Linked DNA regions of Arabidopsis thaliana. The protein of the gene in region 1 purifies or fractionates together with the protein of each later gene. This does not show direct contact. Each region holds a gene or a part of one and is shown on either strand. Other genes may lie near its edges. The genes, in order: GDH1, LAP2 and AT4G30910.

The links.
Region 2: the proteins of GDH1 (region 1) and LAP2 fractionate together in Arabidopsis thaliana (co-fractionation; one large-scale study listed by BioGRID). This does not show direct contact.
Region 3: the proteins of GDH1 (region 1) and AT4G30910 fractionate together in Arabidopsis thaliana (co-fractionation; one large-scale study listed by BioGRID). This does not show direct contact.

What each region holds. Positions count from the first base shown.
Region 1 is NC_003076.8:6,002,781-6,009,867, forward strand, and holds GDH1 (glutamate dehydrogenase 1), read left to right. Parts: upstream 1-3,254; 5' UTR 3,255-3,391; coding exon 3,392-3,499; intron 3,500-3,737; coding exon 3,738-3,851; intron 3,852-3,960; coding exon 3,961-4,182; intron 4,183-4,272; coding exon 4,273-4,347; intron 4,348-4,427; coding exon 4,428-4,544; intron 4,545-4,620; coding exon 4,621-4,871; intron 4,872-4,952; coding exon 4,953-5,028; intron 5,029-5,101; coding exon 5,102-5,188; intron 5,189-5,282; coding exon 5,283-5,468; 3' UTR 5,469-5,780; downstream 5,781-7,087. Other genes in the region: AT5G18160 (F-box and associated interaction domains-containing protein), read left to right, coding at 1-1,129; AT5G18180 (H/ACA ribonucleoprotein complex, subunit Gar1/Naf1 protein), read right to left, coding at 5,781-5,946, 6,066-6,181, 6,269-6,417, 6,687-6,825.
Region 2 is NC_003075.7:15,045,957-15,053,637, reverse strand, and holds LAP2 (Cytosol aminopeptidase family protein), read left to right. Parts: upstream 1-4,199; 5' UTR 4,200-4,333; coding exon 4,334-4,567; intron 4,568-4,786; coding exon 4,787-5,201; intron 5,202-5,309; coding exon 5,310-5,504; intron 5,505-5,628; coding exon 5,629-5,854; intron 5,855-5,940; coding exon 5,941-6,067; intron 6,068-6,142; coding exon 6,143-6,238; intron 6,239-6,333; coding exon 6,334-6,411; intron 6,412-6,501; coding exon 6,502-6,562; intron 6,563-6,635; coding exon 6,636-6,823; intron 6,824-6,917; coding exon 6,918-7,049; 3' UTR 7,050-7,181; downstream 7,182-7,681. Other genes in the region: WRKY32 (WRKY DNA-binding protein 32), read left to right, coding at 3-58, 380-1,035, 1,121-1,279, 1,374-1,722; NFD1 (Ribosomal protein L21), read left to right, coding at 2,008-2,442, 2,527-2,607, 2,763-2,864, 3,157-3,231, 3,349-3,468. UniProt on the Arabidopsis thaliana protein: Presumably involved in the processing and regular turnover of intracellular proteins. Catalyzes the removal of unsubstituted N-terminal amino acids from various peptides.
Region 3 is NC_003075.7:15,039,654-15,047,036, reverse strand, and holds AT4G30910 (Cytosol aminopeptidase family protein), read left to right. Parts: upstream 1-1,692; 5' UTR 1,693-1,788; coding exon 1,789-2,019; intron 2,020-2,201; coding exon 2,202-2,616; intron 2,617-2,709; coding exon 2,710-2,904; intron 2,905-3,015; coding exon 3,016-3,241; intron 3,242-3,331; coding exon 3,332-3,458; intron 3,459-3,533; coding exon 3,534-3,776; intron 3,777-3,861; coding exon 3,862-3,922; intron 3,923-4,005; coding exon 4,006-4,193; intron 4,194-4,287; coding exon 4,288-4,416; 3' UTR 4,417-4,680; downstream 4,681-7,383. Other genes in the region: LAP2 (Cytosol aminopeptidase family protein), read left to right, coding at 35-222, 317-448; AT4G30900 (DNAse I-like superfamily protein), read right to left, coding at 4,834-5,105, 5,192-5,286, 5,474-5,688, 5,804-5,905, 5,992-6,074, 6,600-6,641, 6,875-7,016. UniProt on the Arabidopsis thaliana protein: Presumably involved in the processing and regular turnover of intracellular proteins. Catalyzes the removal of unsubstituted N-terminal amino acids from various peptides. Possesses Cys-Gly dipeptidase activity.

The DNA.
Region 1 (7,087 bases):
AGACGAGAAGAAGCAGGGAACAACAAAATCTTCATCTACATTGACGACAAGATGCTCACATGGTAATCACATATCTCAGTCAAACTCGATTCCTCTCGACATAACCATTGAGATACTCTCAAGACTTCCTGCGAAATCAATCGTCAGATCTCGCTCCGTCTCTAAGCTCTGGTCGTCCATTACCACCACACCAGAGTTCATCAAGCATCGGTCCAAGAAGACATCACCACCTTGTGTTCTACTAATCTTCCGAAAACACGACAAGCTGATCGTTTTCTCGTCTCCCCAACACCAGAATACTTATTCTCATGTGCAAGATTATCACATTGAAATCCCCAAGAATGGTTTCATCCGTCGTCTTGATTCCGTCCACGGTTTGATCTGCTTAGAAGGTTCTAAACAGCTCGTGATTTGTAACCCTACTTTGAAACGATTCTTCCCTTTACCTGAGCCTCAAGGCACCGGTGACGAATACAACGTAGGAGGGTTTCTGGGATATGAACCGATAGAGGGTAAATACAAAGCATTGTGCATTGTCAGAGGATGGAACACTCAAGTTCTTACATTGGAAATTCAAGAATCATGGAGAGTAACCAAACCTGGCTATACACATTGGCCTACTAAAGATACTGGACGATGCATTAATGGAGTTATCTACTATAAAGCTATTATATTTGATAGGGTTCCAAGGCATGTTATATTTGGCTTTGATCTCAGATATGAAGAGTTTACACATATTGAGTTTCCGATGCGTAATTATGACCGCTTTCTTATGGTATCTTATGAGGGAAGGTTGGCTTTGATAAGTTCCACTAGCTCTGTTGTTGAAATCTGGAGTTTGGAGGATGCAGGGAATCGAAAATGGTCGTATGAACAGTTTCATTTATGTCTTCCTCCCAACACAAGTCTGAAGGGTGTTATTGATGCTGGTGAGCTTATTTACACAGGATTTAGTTTGAATAGATCGTTCTGTGTTGTGTATTTTGATCCTAAGAAAAACAATATCAGAGAAACCAAGTTTCAAGGAATTGCGGATAACCAGATTTGGCAACCTGATAGACTTGGATTTGATCTTGTGAATGACTTTTATGTATTACCAAATCACATTGAGAGTTTCATCTCGTTTTAAGAGATTTCATCTTTTTGCATGGAATGACACTATATATTTCTGAAGTGTTCTTCAGATCTTTTTTTGTATCCACTGATTGATTGATCCCACTGGAGATCCCAATATGTTTTAATGATGATACTACATATTCTAGAGACTTAATAGAAACTTTATAAAACTATACATGGAGAGACTGTAATATGTGTTTTTGAGATTGAACCTACGATTCCTCTGTTCTGTTTCTAGCAATTTCCATGTGATCCTTTTCTCAAAAATAGAAAAGAGACTTTTGTCCTAAAGTTAAACAAGTACAGAAGAAGTACTTGAAATCTTCACTCAGACGATTAGAGCTTAGAGCATACGAAGATTAGCCTTAGTTACTTGCAGTATGAATTCAACATTTTGAGACATGGATCTCTGTAAAATTGACCAATATAGTGGTTTTATTATGGTACCTTATGAGAAAAGATTAGCCTGGATAGCCACAAATTCATTGATATTGGAGGACTTGGCTAAATTTGGGCGCTATTAGTCTATTACTAATGCTAGTGAATTTATTGTGTCATGAACTTTGATATTATTAGCAGTTTTAAGAGCCCTCAGGACAATAACATTTGGTAATGAATGTAATAACATCCCTTACATATTAGTGTTATAACACTATCTAGTTTACTCTCAATTTGGATGTGAGAGACCAATAATCATAATTCATAACAACTGATTTTGAGAAGGGTTCTGTTTTGTTTTCCAAAGAATGACACATAGCTAATTATATATGCAAGTTTATGATTCTCTGATAGATTCTTCTTGTTATGATTATCCGTTCACATTGAAGGGCTTTGTCATAATTTGATTTTTCTTTAGTTTGAATATATCGTAAGTCCTAAACATGCATGTCTTATTAAACAATGTGGGCTCTGCTCTGAAGACTATTGCCTACATTTATGCTATCTACTCAATCCCTTAGGAGTTATGGCATTTAGTTTCCAGCTGATGATATGTAGAACATTCATAAGCGAGCTCAAGATTCTACAATACGTGTATAAAAGATGAAGCCTAAGCTACTACTAGGCTGCATCGGTCAAAACACACAAGCCTTGTCTTTTTGTTTCTTTTTCTTACAAAAACTTTGTCTCCTACAGTGACTTCACCACCAACACCATCACTGACAAACACTAATAATGAAAGACCAAATTCGTATCACAGAAAGATAAGACTGAAAAATCAAAATGTTTCAATAGCATTAGCCTCCAGAAGAAATAACAACAGTCGTTGTACTTGTATCCTAGCTAAAAGCAAAATGTAATTGATTTATTGCGAATTAAACTCTATCTTGTTACAAACTTTAACAAAAGTTTTAATATTTTGAATTCCGTACATGTAAATGGAAGCATATTAATTGGGAAAACAAAAGAAACATAGTGGATAAGATTGTTTACAAGTCAACACACACCAATTTAGAAAAATCAAAGAAATCCCGATTTGATGCGAACATGACGACGCAACCATATCTCTCCAAATCAAAAGATTATGTGTGTCACATTCCCCACTAATTTCACTTATATCTAGCATAAGATGCCATATAATATACATGTAGTATGTAACGTTTTGAGAATGTTCTTATTCGGCGAGATTATTTTTCTGACAATACATAGCACAATGTTTAGTTTTCCCAAACTATATAATTGGAAAATTTTCCAATGACATCTCAAATATGTCGACATATCCAACCGTAATTCCGTAAATAGGAACAAAAACATCCAAAGAATTTAAGTCTAGTTGATCTCAAATTTTAGGCAAGTTGCAAATAAACACAAGTATATTTTAGTTGAATTATACAACTAAACTCAAAAGTACATGTTGTTCCAGAAATTAAACAGATAGACAGTTAGTTGGTAAAGATTTAATTAGTTGATTCAAAAAAGAAAAAAATTTCTCGAGTTATCTTAAAGTATGTTTGTCTTAACTTATCAAAATTATATCTAAAACCCACTTAAAGGCTTAAACCATGATTATTGTGTCTTGTCTTTTTTTGTAATTAAATTACTTAATCAGCTCCACCGTAATCAGCTGGACCTCCACTGAATCTTACCCAAACATATCGATCACGTGCCTGTGTATAAATAAATACATACACACTTAACAAGTTACAATCAGACTGACACCAATCTTCCTCTTTAACAGTCGTTTTATTACAGCGTTCTGATCAAAACTCCAGTGAAAGTTCAAAGTACACAGAGAGAAACAAAAAAAGAAGAAGAAGAAGTTGAAGAAGAAGAAGCCATGAATGCTTTAGCAGCAACAAACAGAAACTTCAAGTTAGCTGCTAGGCTTCTTGGTCTGGATTCTAAGCTCGAGAAAAGTCTTCTCATCCCCTTCCGAGAAATCAAGGTTCGCAAATTTTCACTCCTTTCTTAACCTAATTAACCTTGATCCGCTGATTTTGTGCCTTCGCCGGCGCCGGAGACGATTCGTCGCGGTGGATTGTAGTGAAAAATGATTACTGAATGTTTAGGGGCATTTCGAAACCCGACCCGCTTTTTTGTGGATCCAGTTACTTCAATCCGGTTGCTGAATTATATAACCGGAACAAACCAATTTAAATCAACCGGTTCTGGTATTTTTGTAGGTGGAATGTACCATACCGAAAGACGATGGTACACTAGCATCATTCGTTGGGTTCAGAGTTCAACACGACAATGCAAGAGGTCCCATGAAAGGTGGAATCAGATATCATCCTGAGGTTTTTGACCTTTTGACTTTGACCTTTTGAACCAAAACTCAAATGTAACAAACCAGTATACAATTTCGGTTTTGGTATATGATGCAAACCGGTTATCGTTTTCTTGCAGGTTGATCCGGATGAAGTGAACGCATTGGCTCAGCTCATGACATGGAAAACAGCAGTGGCTAAGATTCCTTACGGAGGAGCTAAAGGAGGGATTGGTTGTGATCCTAGCAAGCTCAGTATCTCCGAGCTCGAGCGGTTGACTCGAGTTTTCACTCAGAAGATTCATGATCTCATTGGGATTCATACTGATGTTCCAGCTCCAGATATGGGCACTGGTCCTCAGGTTCTTAAACTCTCTTCAGAACGTTTCCAAAATGTTCTGTGTTTTTTTTTGAAACCATCTTTCAACTTTTTCCCTTGGTGGAATTTGCAGACAATGGCTTGGATTCTTGATGAATACTCTAAGTTTCATGGATACTCGCCTGCAGTTGTGACTGGAAAACCCATTGTAAGTAAAGAATAATCACAATCTTGTTTTGCTAATGACTGGTTTAACCACCTGAATGTTTAATGATGTTTATGAACCAGGATCTTGGTGGATCGCTAGGGAGAGACGCGGCTACTGGAAGAGGAGTGATGTTTGGTACCGAAGCTTTGCTTAACGAGCACGGAAAGACCATATCAGGGCAGCGTTTTGTCATCCAGGTGACCTTTCTTTTATTGCGGTTTCCTGCGAGCCAAAGAAACTTTTCTTATTCTGGTTTACATATTGGTTCATTAGGGATTTGGTAATGTGGGTTCTTGGGCGGCAAAGCTGATAAGTGAAAAGGGTGGGAAGATTGTTGCCGTGAGTGACATTACCGGAGCAATCAAGAACAAGGATGGTATCGATATCCCGGCCTTGCTCAAGCATACTAAAGAACACAGAGGTGTCAAAGGGTTTGATGGTGCAGATCCGATCGATCCAAACTCCATACTGGTTGAGGATTGTGATATCCTCGTCCCTGCAGCACTTGGTGGTGTCATCAACAGGTTAGAGCTTTTTTTTGCTACAAAAGCTTACATATTGTTTTGAAACTTTTTAAAAACTATTAGTTGGATTTTGGTTTGAAGGGAGAATGCGAATGAGATTAAAGCAAAGTTCATCATAGAAGCAGCTAATCATCCAACTGATCCGGACGCGGATGAGGTTTGATTGTCTTCTTCTTTGACTTTGGAGTTTCTCATTGCGAATCTCTGTAATGGAGATTCTTGTATTACAGATCCTAAGTAAGAAAGGTGTGGTTATTCTCCCGGACATATATGCAAACTCTGGAGGAGTCACTGTAAGTTACTTCGAATGGGTTCAGGTATGTATGAGTCTCTCAACAACTTACCTTTGACAGACCAAGTACTCGAACAAAACCGATTTTGATCAGATTAGTTGTTTCCGGTAATGTGCAGAACATTCAAGGCTTTATGTGGGAGGAAGAGAAGGTGAACGATGAGCTAAAGACTTACATGACTCGCTCTTTCAAGGACTTGAAAGAGATGTGCAAAACTCACTCTTGCGATCTCCGGATGGGAGCTTTCACACTCGGTGTTAATCGTGTGGCTCAAGCTACCATTCTCAGAGGCTGGGGAGCTTAAAGATTATCTAATCTCTTATGCAATCTCTTTAGCAGCTCCTGAATAAGAATTGAGCCAAACTTTAATCTACTTTTTGTTTTATCCTCCTACTTTGGCTTAGAGGTCATCCTGAGTTAACAGATATGTGTTTACAAGTACTAGAAGACGCTTCTGTATGTAATAAAACCTTGGACTCTAATAGTTAATGAGCTTTTTTACTCTCTTGTTAATAAAACCAAGGTATCAAAAAACTAGAACCAAGAAAACAGTTATCATCAATATGGTTCTTAAAAAAAGCAATTTAAAGATAGCTTAAGGCTATAGAATATGAATCTAGGCCCTCCCTCGGCCTCTGAAGCCTCCACGAGGACCACCTCTTGGTTGAAACCCTCTGCTAGCACCTCTGGGAGCACCTCTACCTCTGAAATTGCCTCTACCACGGGGAGGCCCTCTACCACGGGGAGGGACTCTTCCTTCACCACGGCCTCCTGATTGTCCCCTGCAAGAAGAACAGAACAAAGACTTTCGTTACAGACTTTTTCTAACACTTGAACAAGTTTCTTCTACTACTTCAAGGGACCTAAGAATTGGTAACAAGGGTTAAGAAGTGTAGCTTACTTTGGTTGAGGAAGGAATCTTGATAGAGGTAAAAGCTTCTCAGGGCTAATGAAGAACTTATCGCCTTGACTATATGAGGTAGCTACAATACCTTCCCTCATTTTGATAGAAAATAGCTGAAAAAGTAAGAACCAATGCTTTGTATATTAGTGAGCAAGGCCAGTGAACGAAGAAGACAACAGAGAGAGAGAGATAACACATACAGATTCATTAATAGGACCAAAGATTTCATCTACTCTCCCAATCTGGGTCTTGTTTTGTAGGTAGATTGGGGCATTGAAATGTGGGATTTTCACATTGGAGAGCTTGAACACAGCATCTCCCTCACAAGCATGGAGAAAAGTTGCAACTTCTGTATAACACCACCAAGAAAGAAACTCTATCATAACAGAGACAATTCACAAGTTTGTTCCTTTTCAATTAACTTCAAAACTGTCACAAGAATCCAACAAAATCCTAATAACAGGAAAACAAATCATCAATCAGAATACAAAAATTTTCTTTTTGTCAAATTTCAGCAACAAACGCTCATTAATGTCAAAGCTGACAACTTTTTTCAATAATTTTTATCTGCTTGATTGGTAAGAATGAGAGAATCGTCAAAGAGGGTTGAAAACGAACCAACGACTTCGCTGGGAGGTCCTTCGTCATAATTACCACCACCAAAGCGTCCACGTCCACGTCCACGTCCACGTCCACGTCCGCCGTTATCTCTTCCTCCCCTTCCCCTGAAGCTGCCGCCGCCACGTGGTGGTCTCATCTTTTTGGTTTTGGTTTCTTCTATCGCTCTCTGCTCCTCAGAGGTTTTTATTTAGGGTTTCAGCGAGGGAAGCAATTGCCAATTGGAGTGTTGAAGAAGTAGTTGTGACTCTTAATAACGAAAAGAAAAAAAAGAAGGTAAACCACTAGGGTTTTCAGCAATCCCAGACCGGGTTACGACTCGTTAAACCGGGAAGAGATAAAATTTTCTTTTAGTAAATTTGTCAATAATTTTTGTAAAAATTTAACAAAAGATTTGAATA
Region 2 (7,681 bases), on another chromosome or scaffold:
AGGTGTTCGAGAAAATTCCTCTGTGGAACCAAATGTTGAAGATGTATTAGAAGTGAATGTGAGTTTGCTTCAGACTCTTCTGCTATTCATAAACTTTCTTAACACTTACAACTTTGATTCTCTCATTAACATTGATTGTGCTAGAACTTGTAAAGTTTAACTCATTTCAGTGTCTTCGATGTTACTCGTTCAGTGATTATACAATAACATGGGAATAGGATTAATCGTAATGGTTTTAACCTTTGGCCAAGTTCAATCTGTATCTGTATCAGTTTGATCTGTTACATTTTAGTGTGTCTGATTTCTTAGGCAATTCTGAGGACAAGAATCACTGTTATCAAGGCATGACATTTAACTGCTTTTTGTATCACATTGGCAGGAGACTGATAGCGTCAAGGAAACTGTTGTAAGTGCGATTGTGCCGGTTGATGAAGTGGAAGAGAATCGTCAGGTAGAAACATCTCCTTCTCTGGCTGCATCGTCAGACTCATTGACAGTGACGCCATGTCTATCTTTGGATCCTGCAACTGCTTCAACCGCACAAGATTTACCACTGGTTTCAGTTCCAACTAAACAAGAGCAAAGATCAGATTCGCCGGTGGTTAACAGATTGTCGGTTACTCCTGTTCCTAGGACACCGGCTCGTGATGGTTATAATTGGAGAAAATATGGACAGAAGCAGGTTAAGAGTCCCAAGGGCTCACGGAGTTACTACAGGTGTACATACACTGAATGTTGTGCTAAAAAAATTGAATGCTCCAATGATTCAGGCAATGTGGTAGAGATTGTTAACAAAGGTTTACATACTCATGAACCTCCCCGGAAGACTAGCTTCTCCCCGAGAGAGATTAGAGTTACAACAGCTATCCGGCCTGTTTCAGAGGATGATACAGTAGTAGAAGAGCTATCAATTGTTCCTAGCGGTTCAGATCCGTCTGCTTCTACTAAAGAATACATCTGTGAGTCGCAAACACTCGTTGACCGGAAAAGACACTGTGAGAACGAAGCTGTGGAGGAACCAGAGCCAAAACGAAGGCAAGTTTGTAGAATTTTGCATTTCGGTGCTTACTCTTCACTTTGAAAGATGAAATTAATAGACTTTCTTCTCTCTATTTTTCAGACTGAAAAAAGATAACTCACAGAGTTCAGATTCTGTCTCCAAACCTGGAAAGAAAAACAAATTCGTAGTACACGCAGCTGGTGATGTTGGTATCTGTGGTGATGGATACAGGTGGCGTAAATACGGGCAGAAAATGGTGAAAGGAAATCCTCATCCAAGGTCTAGAAAACTAAACGCATGACCCATCTCTTTATCCACATATGACATCTTCTAATACGCATGGTGATTGATTTGTTCTGTTTCAAACATTCAGGAACTACTACCGATGCACTTCAGCGGGATGTCCAGTTCGTAAACACATTGAGACAGCAGTCGAGAACACAAAAGCAGTAATAATCACATACAAAGGAGTACACAACCACGACATGCCGGTGCCTAAGAAACGCCATGGTCCTCCAAGCTCAATGCTCGTAGCTGCAGCCGCTCCAACATCAATGAGAACCAGGACAGACGATCAGGTGAACATTCCGACTTCAAGCCAGTGCTCGGTGGGGCGAGAAAGTGAGAAGCAGAGTAAAGAAGCATTGGACGTTGGTGGAGAGAAAGTGATGGAATCAGCTAGGACTTTGTTGAGCATTGGATTCGAAATCAAGCAATGCTGATTATATGTAGTTTATGAGTTTTATAGAGTTCATCGACTCAATTTTCGCCTCCTTGTTCTTGTTATATAATAATAATAAAAAACCCCATGAAGATTACCAACTAAATACGTTAACATTCGTCTGTGTAATGATGGTATATGTTTATTGTGATATTAAATCGCTAATTTTAGTGAATAGCCTCTGGTTCGTCTAGAGGGTCTTCTGAAACTTGAAAGGGACTAAAAGACGAGAACAAAAACCCTTTCTCTCTACTCTGTGTAAACCCTAGTGTGTTCGTGCTCTCCGATGGCGAGTCTTCGATGCTTTCGTGAGCTGAGCCGCCGCGCTACGACTGTTTTCTCCATCAACCAGACGCGATCGATCTCTTCATTTCATGGGATTGAGTTTTCCGGGACCAGCATTTCTCATGGGACCGTAATTCCGAATCGATCTCTCACTAGGAATTTGCCATGGTACAGTCATTGGTATCGCTCTCAAGATCGTTGTTTCTCTTCGAACACAAAGGATACTGATGAAGATGAAGAAAGCAGTGAAGGAGAGGATGATGATGAGGAGGAGGGGGAAGACTTTGAGGATTCGGCGGATATGGAAGTAGAAAGGGAATATTCACCGGCGGAGAAAGTGGAAGAGGCGGAGGAGATAGGGTACAAGGTGATGGGTCCTCTTAAACCTTCGGAGAGACTTTTCAAACCCTATGAACCAGTGTTTGCCATTGTTCAGGTCTCGTCTCTGTGCTATCTCAATTAATCCTTTAGTTTCATTTCTCACTCTCACTGATGCTGAGTGGTTATTTTTATCCTGTAGATTGGTTCGCATCAGTTTAAAGTTAGCAATGGGGACTCCATTTTCACCGAGAAGTTGAAATTCTGTGACATCAATGATAAGGTATGCTAGCTTCAAGCTCTTCTTCGTTAATCTTTGCTATTCTTCTCTCAAAGGGCTAGACTTTACCGTATCTCTCGTAAGAAGGACGAACCTTTGCATTTGTGTTTATGATTTATGATTGTTGCTAAAACCTTTCTCTTTATGTCCCTTTGCAGTTGGAACTAACCAAGGTTCTTCTATTGGGCTCGGCAAGCCAGACGATTATTGGTAGGCCTATTTTGCCAGATGCGACAGTTCATGCTGTAGTTGAAGAGCATGTAAGTGTCTCATTGACTTGCTTGGTGTTTTATAATACTAGTGAAGCTGTGCTTAAGAATAATTTACAATTGAAAAGAGGATAGATGAGAGTTTGCTTGCTGAATCCGGTGACTGAGAGAAACTAAATCAAACTGTCTGCTGATTAGTTTGTGAAAGTCTTGCAAGTCATTAGATTAGTGTTCATCTATCTCTACATCATCTGAATGTCTTGATTTAAGATGGGCTTGGAATGTAGAAGGATCTACTCATGTACCAGCATTACTCAACTAGTTTTTCCTTGATGCGTGACAGGCTTTGGATGAAAAAGTGCTCATTTTCAAAAAGAAACGAAGAAAGAATTATAGGAGAACGAGAGGACATCGACAGGTATACTTTATAACTCCTTGTTTAGATAGACAGTGTGTTTATTTCATCTTTGCCTTCTTCTAGTTCTTTCCACTGTGTTATGATTGTTGTTTTTGACCATTCAACACTTGTGTCCAGGAATTGACGAAGTTGAGAATAACCGATATACAAGGAATTGAAAAACCAGAACCGAAGATCGTCCATAAGCCTTCGAAAGAAGCTGTTACAGAACAGACGAAGGCTGAGCTAGTTGCTTAGAGATAAAATTTGCTTCTTTCTTTTTTGCTGATGCCGATACATTTGAAGTAAGTTAAATTATCACTTGCTGTTCACTAAGAACTAGATTTTAAAGTCGTTGAAATGATGAAAAGGCCTTCTTGGTAGTTAGTGGTAAGTAACTAGGCTCCTGAGATATGAAATGTGATTTGCCTTTCACTGTCTTGTTCTCCTTGCTCTTCATTTTGTATTTAAACTGGCTCATGCTTGTGGGAGCTGTTTGTTGCTTCTGTTTCAGAAATAAAGATTTGCGGAAACATCTCTCTCCTTATCTTCTCTATGCTTTGTACTTTGTACTGTACTACTGTGGTTTGGTTATGGTTTAATTTACTTCTTCATGCAAGTCTCGGTCACAGATATGAAACTGGTGGTAAATTGGTAATAACTGCAAGTCACATTACACTCAAAATCTCGATTTTTTCCACTATGACTCTTTAGATCAGGTGATTATTATTGTAACTATATATGGCAACCACTTCCTCATCAACAAATGATTCACAGAATTGATAGTACTTGGAACTGATTTATAATTTCTTTTATCAACATCGGAAAATCGTGTAAGAATGCCTTGAAATATTTGAATGTTTGTAAATAGTATCAAAACCATTGTTTGTATAAATATGTATAAAGAACTTAAACAAAAGCAATTTGGAGCCAAAGAGAATTATAAAGCTACACGAGTACGTAAGTCCATGGTTAAGATCGGGTCGGGTGGGGACGGGTTGGATAAAAGCAAACAATGAGTCAAGTAAAAGAAGAATCATCGTCAACAAGAGAGAGAGAGAGATAAGCACAAACGCGGCTTTTCTTCTCCTTATAAATAAGAGAAGCTCAGTGCGTTACTCAAATGGCCGTCACTTTGGTAACGTCCTTCGCTTCTTCGTCTTCTCGCTTCCATTTCCGCTCATTCTCCTCTTCTCCGTCGTCTCTCTCCTCTTGTTTCGTCCGATTCCAGTTCCCCTCTCGCCTTAGACTCGCTTTTGCCGTCACGCCTCTCTACTCTTCTTCTAGAGCCATGGCTCATACAATCTCACACGCTACTCTCGGCCTCACTCAGGCTAACTCCGTCGATCATCCTAAGGTTTGTTCCTGATCGCTTGCAGCATTATTCGATTTTGCTGTTATGTGTTTAAACTCGATACTAGTGAATGCTTTGTAGATTCGTCGCTTTACTGTTTCCGATTAAGATGATCCACTGATTTGCTGACTTCGATTATGGTCAAGTCTTGTCAGAGATTAGCTTTCGAGTTTGAATTTTTGTGGTTAATTGGATTCTGATTAGTCGAATTTGCTGTATCAGATCTCATTTTCGGGGAAGGAGATCGACGTGACGGAATGGAAAGGTGATATACTCGCTGTTGGAGTGACGGAGAAAGACATGGCTAAGGATGTGAACTCCAAGTTCGAAAACCCGATTCTGAAGAAGCTTGATGCTCACTTGGGTGGACTTTTAGCTGATGTCTCGTCTGAGGAAGATTTTTCTGGGAAACCTGGTCAGTCGACAGTTCTTAGGCTTCCGGGTCTTGGGTCTAAGCGAGTTGGTTTGATTGGTCTTGGAAAATCTGCTTCAACTCCTTCGGCTTTTCAGAGTCTCGGTGAGGCTGTTGCTGCAGCTGCTAAAGCTTCTCAAGCTAGCAGTGTTGCAGTTGTTCTCGCCTCCTCTGAGAGTGTTTCTAATGAATCTAAGCTCTGTTCTGCGTCAGCTATAGCTTCAGGTGTTTTATTTGTTGTTGTTGTGGTTTCGTCTATTAAAGCTCGAGAATGGTTGTTTCATTACCATTTTGGAACTGATCGTTATGTGGAATTGTTGTTTATTTTTACAGGCACAGTGCTTGGTTTGTTTGAAGACAGCCGGTATAAGTCTGAGTCGAAGAAACCATCACTCAAATCTGTAGATATCATTGGCTTTGGCTCTGGACCTGAACTAGAGAAGAAGCTTAAGTATGCTGAACATGTTTCTTATGGCGTTATTTTCGGGAAAGAACTCGTTAATTCTCCAGCCAATGTTCTCACTCCTGGTGAGGATTGTTTCTTGAGCATCAGTCTTAGACTTTTCATTTTTTTTTTTTTTAATAATGTGAGCATCATGTCTGTTGAAGTTTATTTCAAACATTTTTCTCTAATCTGCTTTGTATCTTACAGCCGTACTAGCTGAGGAAGCCTTGAATCTGGCTTCCATGTACAGTGATGTCATGACTGCCAACATCTTGAACGAGGAGCAATGCAAAGAGTTGAAGATGGGTTCATATCTTGCTGTAGCTGCTGCTTCAGCTAATCCACCTCATTTCATACATCTTATCTACAAACCTTCTAGTGGCCCTGTTAAAACAAAACTTGCTCTTGTTGGAAAAGGATTGACATTTGACAGGTACTAGAGCTGTTGGCTTCTGTTTGCCGCATCAATCTCTTTATTTAATACTTATTAGTTATTGACCAGATGGTTTTTGTTCACAGCGGTGGCTACAACATTAAAACCGGGCCTGGCTGCTTAATTGAGCTCATGAAATTCGATATGGGAGGTTCAGCTGCTGTTCTTGGCGCTGCAAAAGCCATTGGTCAAATTAAGCCTCCAGGTGTTGAGGTAAGTTTATCACACGGAGCTTGCGTTTCTGAGTTAAATGAATGTACCTAAACAAATGCTTCGTTGCACAATCAGGTGCACTTTATTGTCGCAGCTTGTGAGAATATGATAAGTGGTACTGGAATGAGACCTGGAGATGTCCTCACAGCCTCAAACGGAAAGACGATTGAGGTATCATAACACCGTTTCCATATGAATTCAGCTTCAAAAGGTTCGAGCTTTCCATTGTTAGTTTTACGCCAAACTAATTGTGGGTGGTATTGCAGGTCAACAACACCGATGCTGAAGGTCGACTAACACTTGCAGATGCTTTAGTTTATGCTTGCAACCAGGGTGTCGATAAGGTATTGTTTCAAAGATTCTTCGACTTATTAATACATTCTTTCTGTTGGTTTTTCTCTCAAGTCTCAACTTGTGAATTACAATATTTGCAGGTTGTTGACCTTGCAACATTGACTGGGGCTTGTATTATTGCTCTTGGAACATCAATGGCAGGTACATAGTCTTGTGTTTTAAATAAGACAGAATAAAATTCTTTCGTGATGGTTGACTATTGGTTTTTCTGCAGGCATATATACACCTAGTGATAAGCTTGCAAAGGAGGTGATTGCTGCATCAGAGAGGAGTGGAGAGAAGTTATGGAGAATGCCTATGGAAGAGAGTTACTGGGAGATGATGAAGTCAGGTGTTGCAGATATGGTTAACACTGGAGGCCGTGCAGGTGGATCCATTACCGCGGCTCTTTTCTTGAAACAGGTGAGTATATCATAAGAGTGGAAACAAAAGAACACATTTCAATACTGACGCTATTGTTCTCTAACGAAGAACCGGGTTTGGTTAATGGTTGCAGTTTGTGAGCGAGGATGTTGAGTGGATGCACATAGATATGGCTGGACCAGTGTGGAACGAGAAGAAGAAAGCTGCAACTGGGTTTGGAGTTGCGACACTAGTTGAGTGGGTACAGAACCATTCTTCTTCTTAAGATGAAGTCTGGTGATCTCTGACTGATGTGAACTAGTTGTGTTTTTGCTTTGTGTGGTGGGACAAGTTTTTTTTTTTTGTGCAACTAAGTATGACAAGTTAAATCAATCAGAAGATTAGTTTTGTTGTTGTATGCTTACCTAGTCTAAACTTAAATTCAACAACCACCGTGAGAGACACAGTTGAGCCACCGTTGTTGCTGTGTCCCGTCATGTTGTTGTATTTGAATGGGTCCGTGAGTTGTTGAGAAGGAGAGATAGTCGCCGTTCATCACCACTACAGCCACCGTGTGTCACCGGAGAGTGACACCACGAGTCACAGGATGTCAACCGCTGTCACCGGAGTAGTCGTAGTCCATCGCCAAGGCCGTTAAGGGTAAGGAAACCCTAGATCTATTATGTAACTTGCTCAGGAAGTTTTTGGCTTTCTCTTATGATCTGTGCTTTGTTTTGGTTTTGATTGTTGAGCTATGAGACCTTACTGCCGTGAGCTTAAACCGCCTCATCGAGCCCCGAGCAGATCCACCGAGAGTAATCGCCGAGAAAGGTAACGGCGAACCTTATCTCCCGTGTTTGTTGTTGATTATTGAACCGGATCTTAACCAGTCTAAACCAATGACTCTTAATTTAGTTA
Region 3 (7,383 bases), on another chromosome or scaffold:
CTTTCGTGATGGTTGACTATTGGTTTTTCTGCAGGCATATATACACCTAGTGATAAGCTTGCAAAGGAGGTGATTGCTGCATCAGAGAGGAGTGGAGAGAAGTTATGGAGAATGCCTATGGAAGAGAGTTACTGGGAGATGATGAAGTCAGGTGTTGCAGATATGGTTAACACTGGAGGCCGTGCAGGTGGATCCATTACCGCGGCTCTTTTCTTGAAACAGGTGAGTATATCATAAGAGTGGAAACAAAAGAACACATTTCAATACTGACGCTATTGTTCTCTAACGAAGAACCGGGTTTGGTTAATGGTTGCAGTTTGTGAGCGAGGATGTTGAGTGGATGCACATAGATATGGCTGGACCAGTGTGGAACGAGAAGAAGAAAGCTGCAACTGGGTTTGGAGTTGCGACACTAGTTGAGTGGGTACAGAACCATTCTTCTTCTTAAGATGAAGTCTGGTGATCTCTGACTGATGTGAACTAGTTGTGTTTTTGCTTTGTGTGGTGGGACAAGTTTTTTTTTTTTGTGCAACTAAGTATGACAAGTTAAATCAATCAGAAGATTAGTTTTGTTGTTGTATGCTTACCTAGTCTAAACTTAAATTCAACAACCACCGTGAGAGACACAGTTGAGCCACCGTTGTTGCTGTGTCCCGTCATGTTGTTGTATTTGAATGGGTCCGTGAGTTGTTGAGAAGGAGAGATAGTCGCCGTTCATCACCACTACAGCCACCGTGTGTCACCGGAGAGTGACACCACGAGTCACAGGATGTCAACCGCTGTCACCGGAGTAGTCGTAGTCCATCGCCAAGGCCGTTAAGGGTAAGGAAACCCTAGATCTATTATGTAACTTGCTCAGGAAGTTTTTGGCTTTCTCTTATGATCTGTGCTTTGTTTTGGTTTTGATTGTTGAGCTATGAGACCTTACTGCCGTGAGCTTAAACCGCCTCATCGAGCCCCGAGCAGATCCACCGAGAGTAATCGCCGAGAAAGGTAACGGCGAACCTTATCTCCCGTGTTTGTTGTTGATTATTGAACCGGATCTTAACCAGTCTAAACCAATGACTCTTAATTTAGTTAAGACCAGAACCGAAACCAATGACAATTTGCGTTGTTGGTGTATTATTACGTCTGTGTGGTGTAACTAGATTATAAGAATTTGGTTTGGTTTAATTATTAAACCAAGTCTAATTAATTTAATTGGAAGAATACCAAATCAATTAATCGAGATTTCTAAATTTGGTTTGGTTATTAGATTAAATCATGTATTTTTAATTGGATTTCACCTATTGATCCACAAATGAGTTACAAAAGTGATAATACTGACGTGTTTTTCAATTTCTTTTATCACTTCGTGTAAGAATGCCTTGAAATATTTGAATTTCTATAAATAGTATCAAAACTATGTTTTGTATAAACAACTTTAAATTTGAAGGCAACAAATAACAGTAGTAAGTATTTCAGATATGGTTATCAAGATAAGTTTAGTAATAGTGAAACATGATCACATTAAAATTTGAAAAGAAGTCTACAGCTAATCAAGATTGTTAAGATCGGGTCGGATAATAGCAATAGTGAGTGAGTCAAGTAAAAGAATAATCATCGTCAACAAGACACGACGGTCGGACGCGGGCGGACGCAAGAAGAGACTGGGCCACTCTAATTTTCTAAGATAACTCTAATTTCATACTATATATATATATATATATATATATGTCTGCATCAGCCACTCTGTTCTTCTCCTTATAAATAAATATAAAGAAGCTAAGCTCAGTGGAGACTTCTCAAATGGCGGTCACTTTGGTAACGTCATGTGCTTCTTCTTCTCGCTTCCATTTCCGCTCTTTCTCCTCTTCTCCGTCGTCTCTCTCCTCTTGTTTCGTACGATTCCAGTTGCTGTCTCGCCTTAGAGTCTCTTTCGCCATCACGCCTCTCTACTGCTCTTCTAAAGCCACGGCTCATACAATCGCACACGCTACTCTTGGCCTTACTCAGGCCAACTCCGTCGATCATCCTAAGGTTTGACTTTGCTGTTATGTGTTTAAACTCGATACTAGTGAATGCTTTGTAGATTCGTCGCTTTACTGTTTCCGATTAAGATGATCCACTGATTTGCTTACTTCGATTATGGTCAAGTCTTGTCAGAGATTAGCTTTCCAGATGCTTAACTGGATTCTGATTACTCGAGTTTTCTGTATCAGATCTCATTTTCCGGGAAGGAGATTGACGTGACTGAATGGAAAGGTGATATACTCGCTGTTGGAGTGACGGAGAAAGATATGGCTAAGGATGCCAACTCCAAGTTCGAGAACCCCATACTGAAGAAGCTTGATGCCCACTTGGGTGGACTTCTAGCTGATGTCTCGGCTGAGGAAGATTTTTCTGGGAAACCTGGCCAGTCAACAGTTCTTAGGCTTCCGGGTCTCGGCTCAAAGCGGGTCGGTTTGATTGGTCTTGGAAAATCTGCTTCAACCCCTTCGGCTTTTCAGAGTCTTGGTGAGGCTGTTGCTGCAGCTGCTAAAGCTTCTCAAGCTAGCAGTGTTGCAGTTGTTCTCGCCTCCTCTGAGAGTTTTTCTGATGAATCTAAGCTCAGTTCTGCTTCAGATATAGCTTCAGGTTGTGATTTCTTTTAGTAAACCTTGAGAAGTGCTTGTTTCATTACCATTTTTGAACTGATCCTTTTGTGGAATCGTTTTTTACTTTTGACAGGCACAGTGCTTGGTTTGTTTGAAGACAGTCGGTATAAGTCTGAGTCAAAGAAACCATCTCTCAAATCTGTAGTATTCATTGGCTTTGGCACTGGACCTGAACTAGAGAACAAGCTTAAGTATGCTGAACATGTTTCTTATGGCGTAATTTTCACGAAAGAACTTGTTAATTCACCAGCCAATGTTCTCTCCCCTGGTATGGATTATAATCATACTCTTAGACTTCTCATGTTTTTTATAATGTGAGCATCATGTCTATTGAAGTTTATTTCAAACATTTGACTCTAATCTGCTTTGTATCTTACAGCCGTACTAGCTGAGGAAGCCTCGAATCTGGCTTCCATGTACAGTAATGTCATGACTGCAAACATCTTGAAAGAGGAGCAATGCAAAGAATTGAAGATGGGTTCATATCTTGCTGTAGCTGCTGCTTCAGCTAATCCACCTCATTTCATCCACCTTATCTACAAACCTTCTAGTGGCCCTGTTAAAACCAAACTTGCTCTTGTTGGAAAAGGATTGACATTTGACAGGTACTCGCAAGAGCTGTTGTCTTCTGTTTGCCGCATCAATCTCTTTCTTTTATACTTATTGGTTATTGACCATCTGGTTTTTGTTCACAGCGGTGGCTACAACATTAAAATTGGGCCTGAATTAATAATTGAGCTCATGAAAATCGATGTGGGAGGTTCAGCTGCTGTTCTTGGCGCTGCAAAAGCCATTGGTGAAATTAAGCCTCCCGGTGTTGAGGTAAGTTTATCACACGGAGCTTGAGTTTCTGAGTTAAGTGAATGTACCTGAACAAATGCTTCTTTGCACAATTAGGTGCACTTTATTGTCGCAGCTTGTGAGAATATGATAAGTGGTACCGGAATGAGACCTGGAGATGTCATCACAGCCTCAAACGGGAAGACAATTGAGGTATCATTACACCGTTTCCATATGAATTCAGCTTCGAAAGGTTCAAGCTTTCCATTGTTAGTGTTGCAGGTCAACGACACCGATTCTGAAGGTCGGCTAACACTTGCAGATGCTCTAGTTTATGCTTGCAACCAGGGTGTCGATAAGGTATTGTTTCAAAGATTCTTCCCCTTATCAATAACATTCTTTCTGCTGGGTTTTCTCTCAACTTGTGAATCATATATATTTGCAGATTGTTGACATTGCAACATTGACCGGGGAGATTATTGTTGCTCTTGGACCATCAATGGCAGGTACATAGTCTTGTGTATAAAATAGACAGAATGACATTCTTTCGTGATGATTGAATATTGGTTTCGATTTTTGATTTCTGCAGGCATGTACACAGCTAGTGATGAGCTTGCCAAGGAGGTAATTGCTGCATCACAGAGGAGTGGAGAGAAGTTATGGAGAATGCCTATGGAAGAGAGTTATTGGGAGATGATGAAGTCAGGTGTTGCAGATATGGTTAACTTTGGAGGCCGTGCAGGTGGATCCATCACCGCAGCTCTCTTTTTGAAACGGGTGAGGATACCATAAGAGTGGAAACAAAAAAACACACTTCAATACTGATTCTATTGTTCTCTAACGAAGAACCGGATTTGGTTAATGGTTGCAGTTTGTTAGCGAGAATGTTGAGTGGTTGCACATAGATATGGCTGGACGGGTGTGGAACGAGAAGAAGAAAGCTGCGACTGGGTTTGGAGTTGCGACACTTGTTGAGTGGGTACAGAACAATTCTTCTTAAGATGTAGGCAGGTGATCTTTGTGCTCCCAGTTCTTATTTAACATTCTCAGAGGTTTTAATGTAGGTAAAAGGGTTTTTATTTGCTTGTGTGAACTGTGAAGTGTGACGCTTGAATATGACGAGTTACCCATTTGAAAGTATTTGACTATTTGTAGATATTCTTGTGTTCCGTAACATCACTTACCTAATAACACAAACTATTAGGAGCACAAGATGAAGGATACAAGTCGTCAATCTTATGTTTCAGTGGTCATCAATAATAACACAAACTATTAGGAGCAAACAAAACAATTTATTTAAATCTCTTTTGAATATGTTTTAGCTCAAATCAATAAATAAAGGCGCCGAGAAAAAAACAGAGCTCATTTGCACAACAATCAGTATAGTCCAAAGCTTAAGCAAGTGAGGACATGTGTTCTAGCTTTCCTCTTGAGCAGGAGCAGAAACAGGAGGAGTAGGTTCAAGCATTCTTACAGAACGAGGAAGCATAAACTCAGCAAACACAGGGTAGTGAGATGAAGGATACAAGTCGTCAATCTTATCATTTACGATCTCGCACATTACAGGAACTATAGATCTACCTCTGTAAAGTATCCAATCCGTGTGTAGATCTTGCGTCTGTCGGTCCCAGCAGAGGCATAACGCTCTGAATATCAGCTTCAGGAACTCGACCGTTCCCTGCTTGTCACCTGAACAAAGGCCCAACATGTTATGATCTAGAAGCTTTGGAGATAAATGATTTTTATAGCTCATGAGAGGGTGGAATGTTTCACACCTTTGAAATCATGGTATGTTCTTATGAGAGCGACGTTTTTTCTTACTCGGGCACTTGGCCATGCGTCTCTCATATCTCCTACCACACCATGCTCTCTGCAAGTTGAATGATGCCCAAAAGCCATTCATCAGCAGTCAAATAAGTAAATATGCTTTGATTTGAAACTAGTTGATCAGTGTGTGAAGAATGGTTTAGCCATTCTTGCATTAACTAGGAGCCCTGAAAGAAAACTCTAGGAGATTGGTAAAAAGCACAAAACTTGTGAATGTGATATTAAGGTACCTAGATCTGCCCAACAGAAACCGCCCTGTTGTTGATTCCTTCTGTGTGTTGAATCCTCCACAGTACACAACCGGCAAAGTGGGAGGTAATGATGCTATGTGTTGCCATGTGAGTAAAGCACTTCGCCTACGGGCACGAGGGCTGATTTCATCCAAGTTTGTGTTGACTATCTGAAACGAAAAACCAGGCGGCTCCGCTCCTTTAAGTTGGAATGTGTAGGCAGCTTGTCAAAGAAAACCAAAATACTGATATATAGGACAAAAACACCAAAATCATAAACTAATCTAATTATAGTTTAACTAAAATGAACCCAACTAGTAAAAAGGATATAGCCCATGTCGCTATACAAGGAACTGCGGAACCCCATGCCGTGCTTCCAGGGACCGAGGGAGACTCTGACAACCAAAAAGTTCCACCCTCTAGCAGCTCTACCTTCAATTAGTATAAAGTATAGTATCAAGCAGCGTATTAATTATTTAGAGCGTAGTTATGTATTGTCTTATCAACCGAATTAATACTTTTTCCTTGTTGAAGAAGATGGTGCAGTGTTCATCATTAGCATCCCCAGGTCCTGTTCTTGATATGCCAAATTGATCATAGGCTGCAAGCAAAGAGTACTACCATCTATTTAAGTTCAAAGAAACAATGCAAACTGAAGTATTATTAAGGCATGTGAAACTAGAAGCTAAGCTCCATGGTTCACAGTAACAAAAACCAGATAAACAATACCACCATCATTTCAAAGAAAGCACCTGTAAATGTGAGAATATCATGCATTCCATTGCCATAAAACAGATGCATTAAGTGCACTAGACTCCGGCTTTTGTAGCCTAAAAACACTAACTTGAACTTGATGCAAAAAAGGATACGGATTGACAAATTGGCTATCAGATTTAAGCAATACCAACATATACTAAAAATAGAATTAAATCTAGTAGATCACAAATAGATTTACATAGTAGATTGAGAACAAGAAGAGTGGTCTACGATTGATAACAAGATTCACACTAGTCTGTGAACTTAAGAAGAAGCAGACTGCTGTATACAAACAGGGTTCAATTAGACCTAACTCACACCATTTAAGTAGAGATTAGACTTCCATAAATCAAAGAGAATTCAATTATACCTGGCAACCCCTGCTGAAGATAATCCAACTGCGACTTCACACCTAACCAATGTAAACATGATAACAAAAGATCAAAACGAAAATCCTATCTCTGTTCAATATTTCAGAAGGCAAGAAAAAGCACAAGAATCAATCTCCAGCATTCAGGAAAAAGAAGCCTTCTTGGAGAACCAATATAAAGAAGGAAGCAAGATCTAACAAGCATTGAATCACCAATACGAAGAAGGAATCAAAGATCTAACAAGCATTGATCCATTGTGGCTAAAGATTATTACCTTGTTGGGTACAGAGAACAATGGGGGAGTAACTAGTGATGACAGTGAGACACAAATCTTTCCTTTTGAGCCATGAATTAGGGCTTTCTTCAGGTAGATCATCGTGAAGATTGAATGACATCACACTCAAAGACACACTCATTGTTTTGTCTCCTTTCTTCTTCTTCTTCTTCCTCTAGTTTTCTCTCTTCTTTCTTTATGGTTTGGTAAGACGAATAAAAACAAAGGTCTCTCTCACATCAGCAGCAGCTCATCGTCGTCGTGACCTACATGATTTTCAATAATAAGTCAAAAGCTTATCAATTTTTATGTGAAAAAACAGCTCAGGATTCGAAGAAAGAAAATCAATCAACATAATTTATTATATTATATTATTGAGGAATCCAATACGAACCTTGTTGTTTCAGACTCTTATCAACAACAACAGTGGAGAAAATGAGTCTTGGACATTTGACGACTTTTGCTGGAAAATCTGTGAAAGTCATGCCCTTTGATCACCAAAAGTCTCT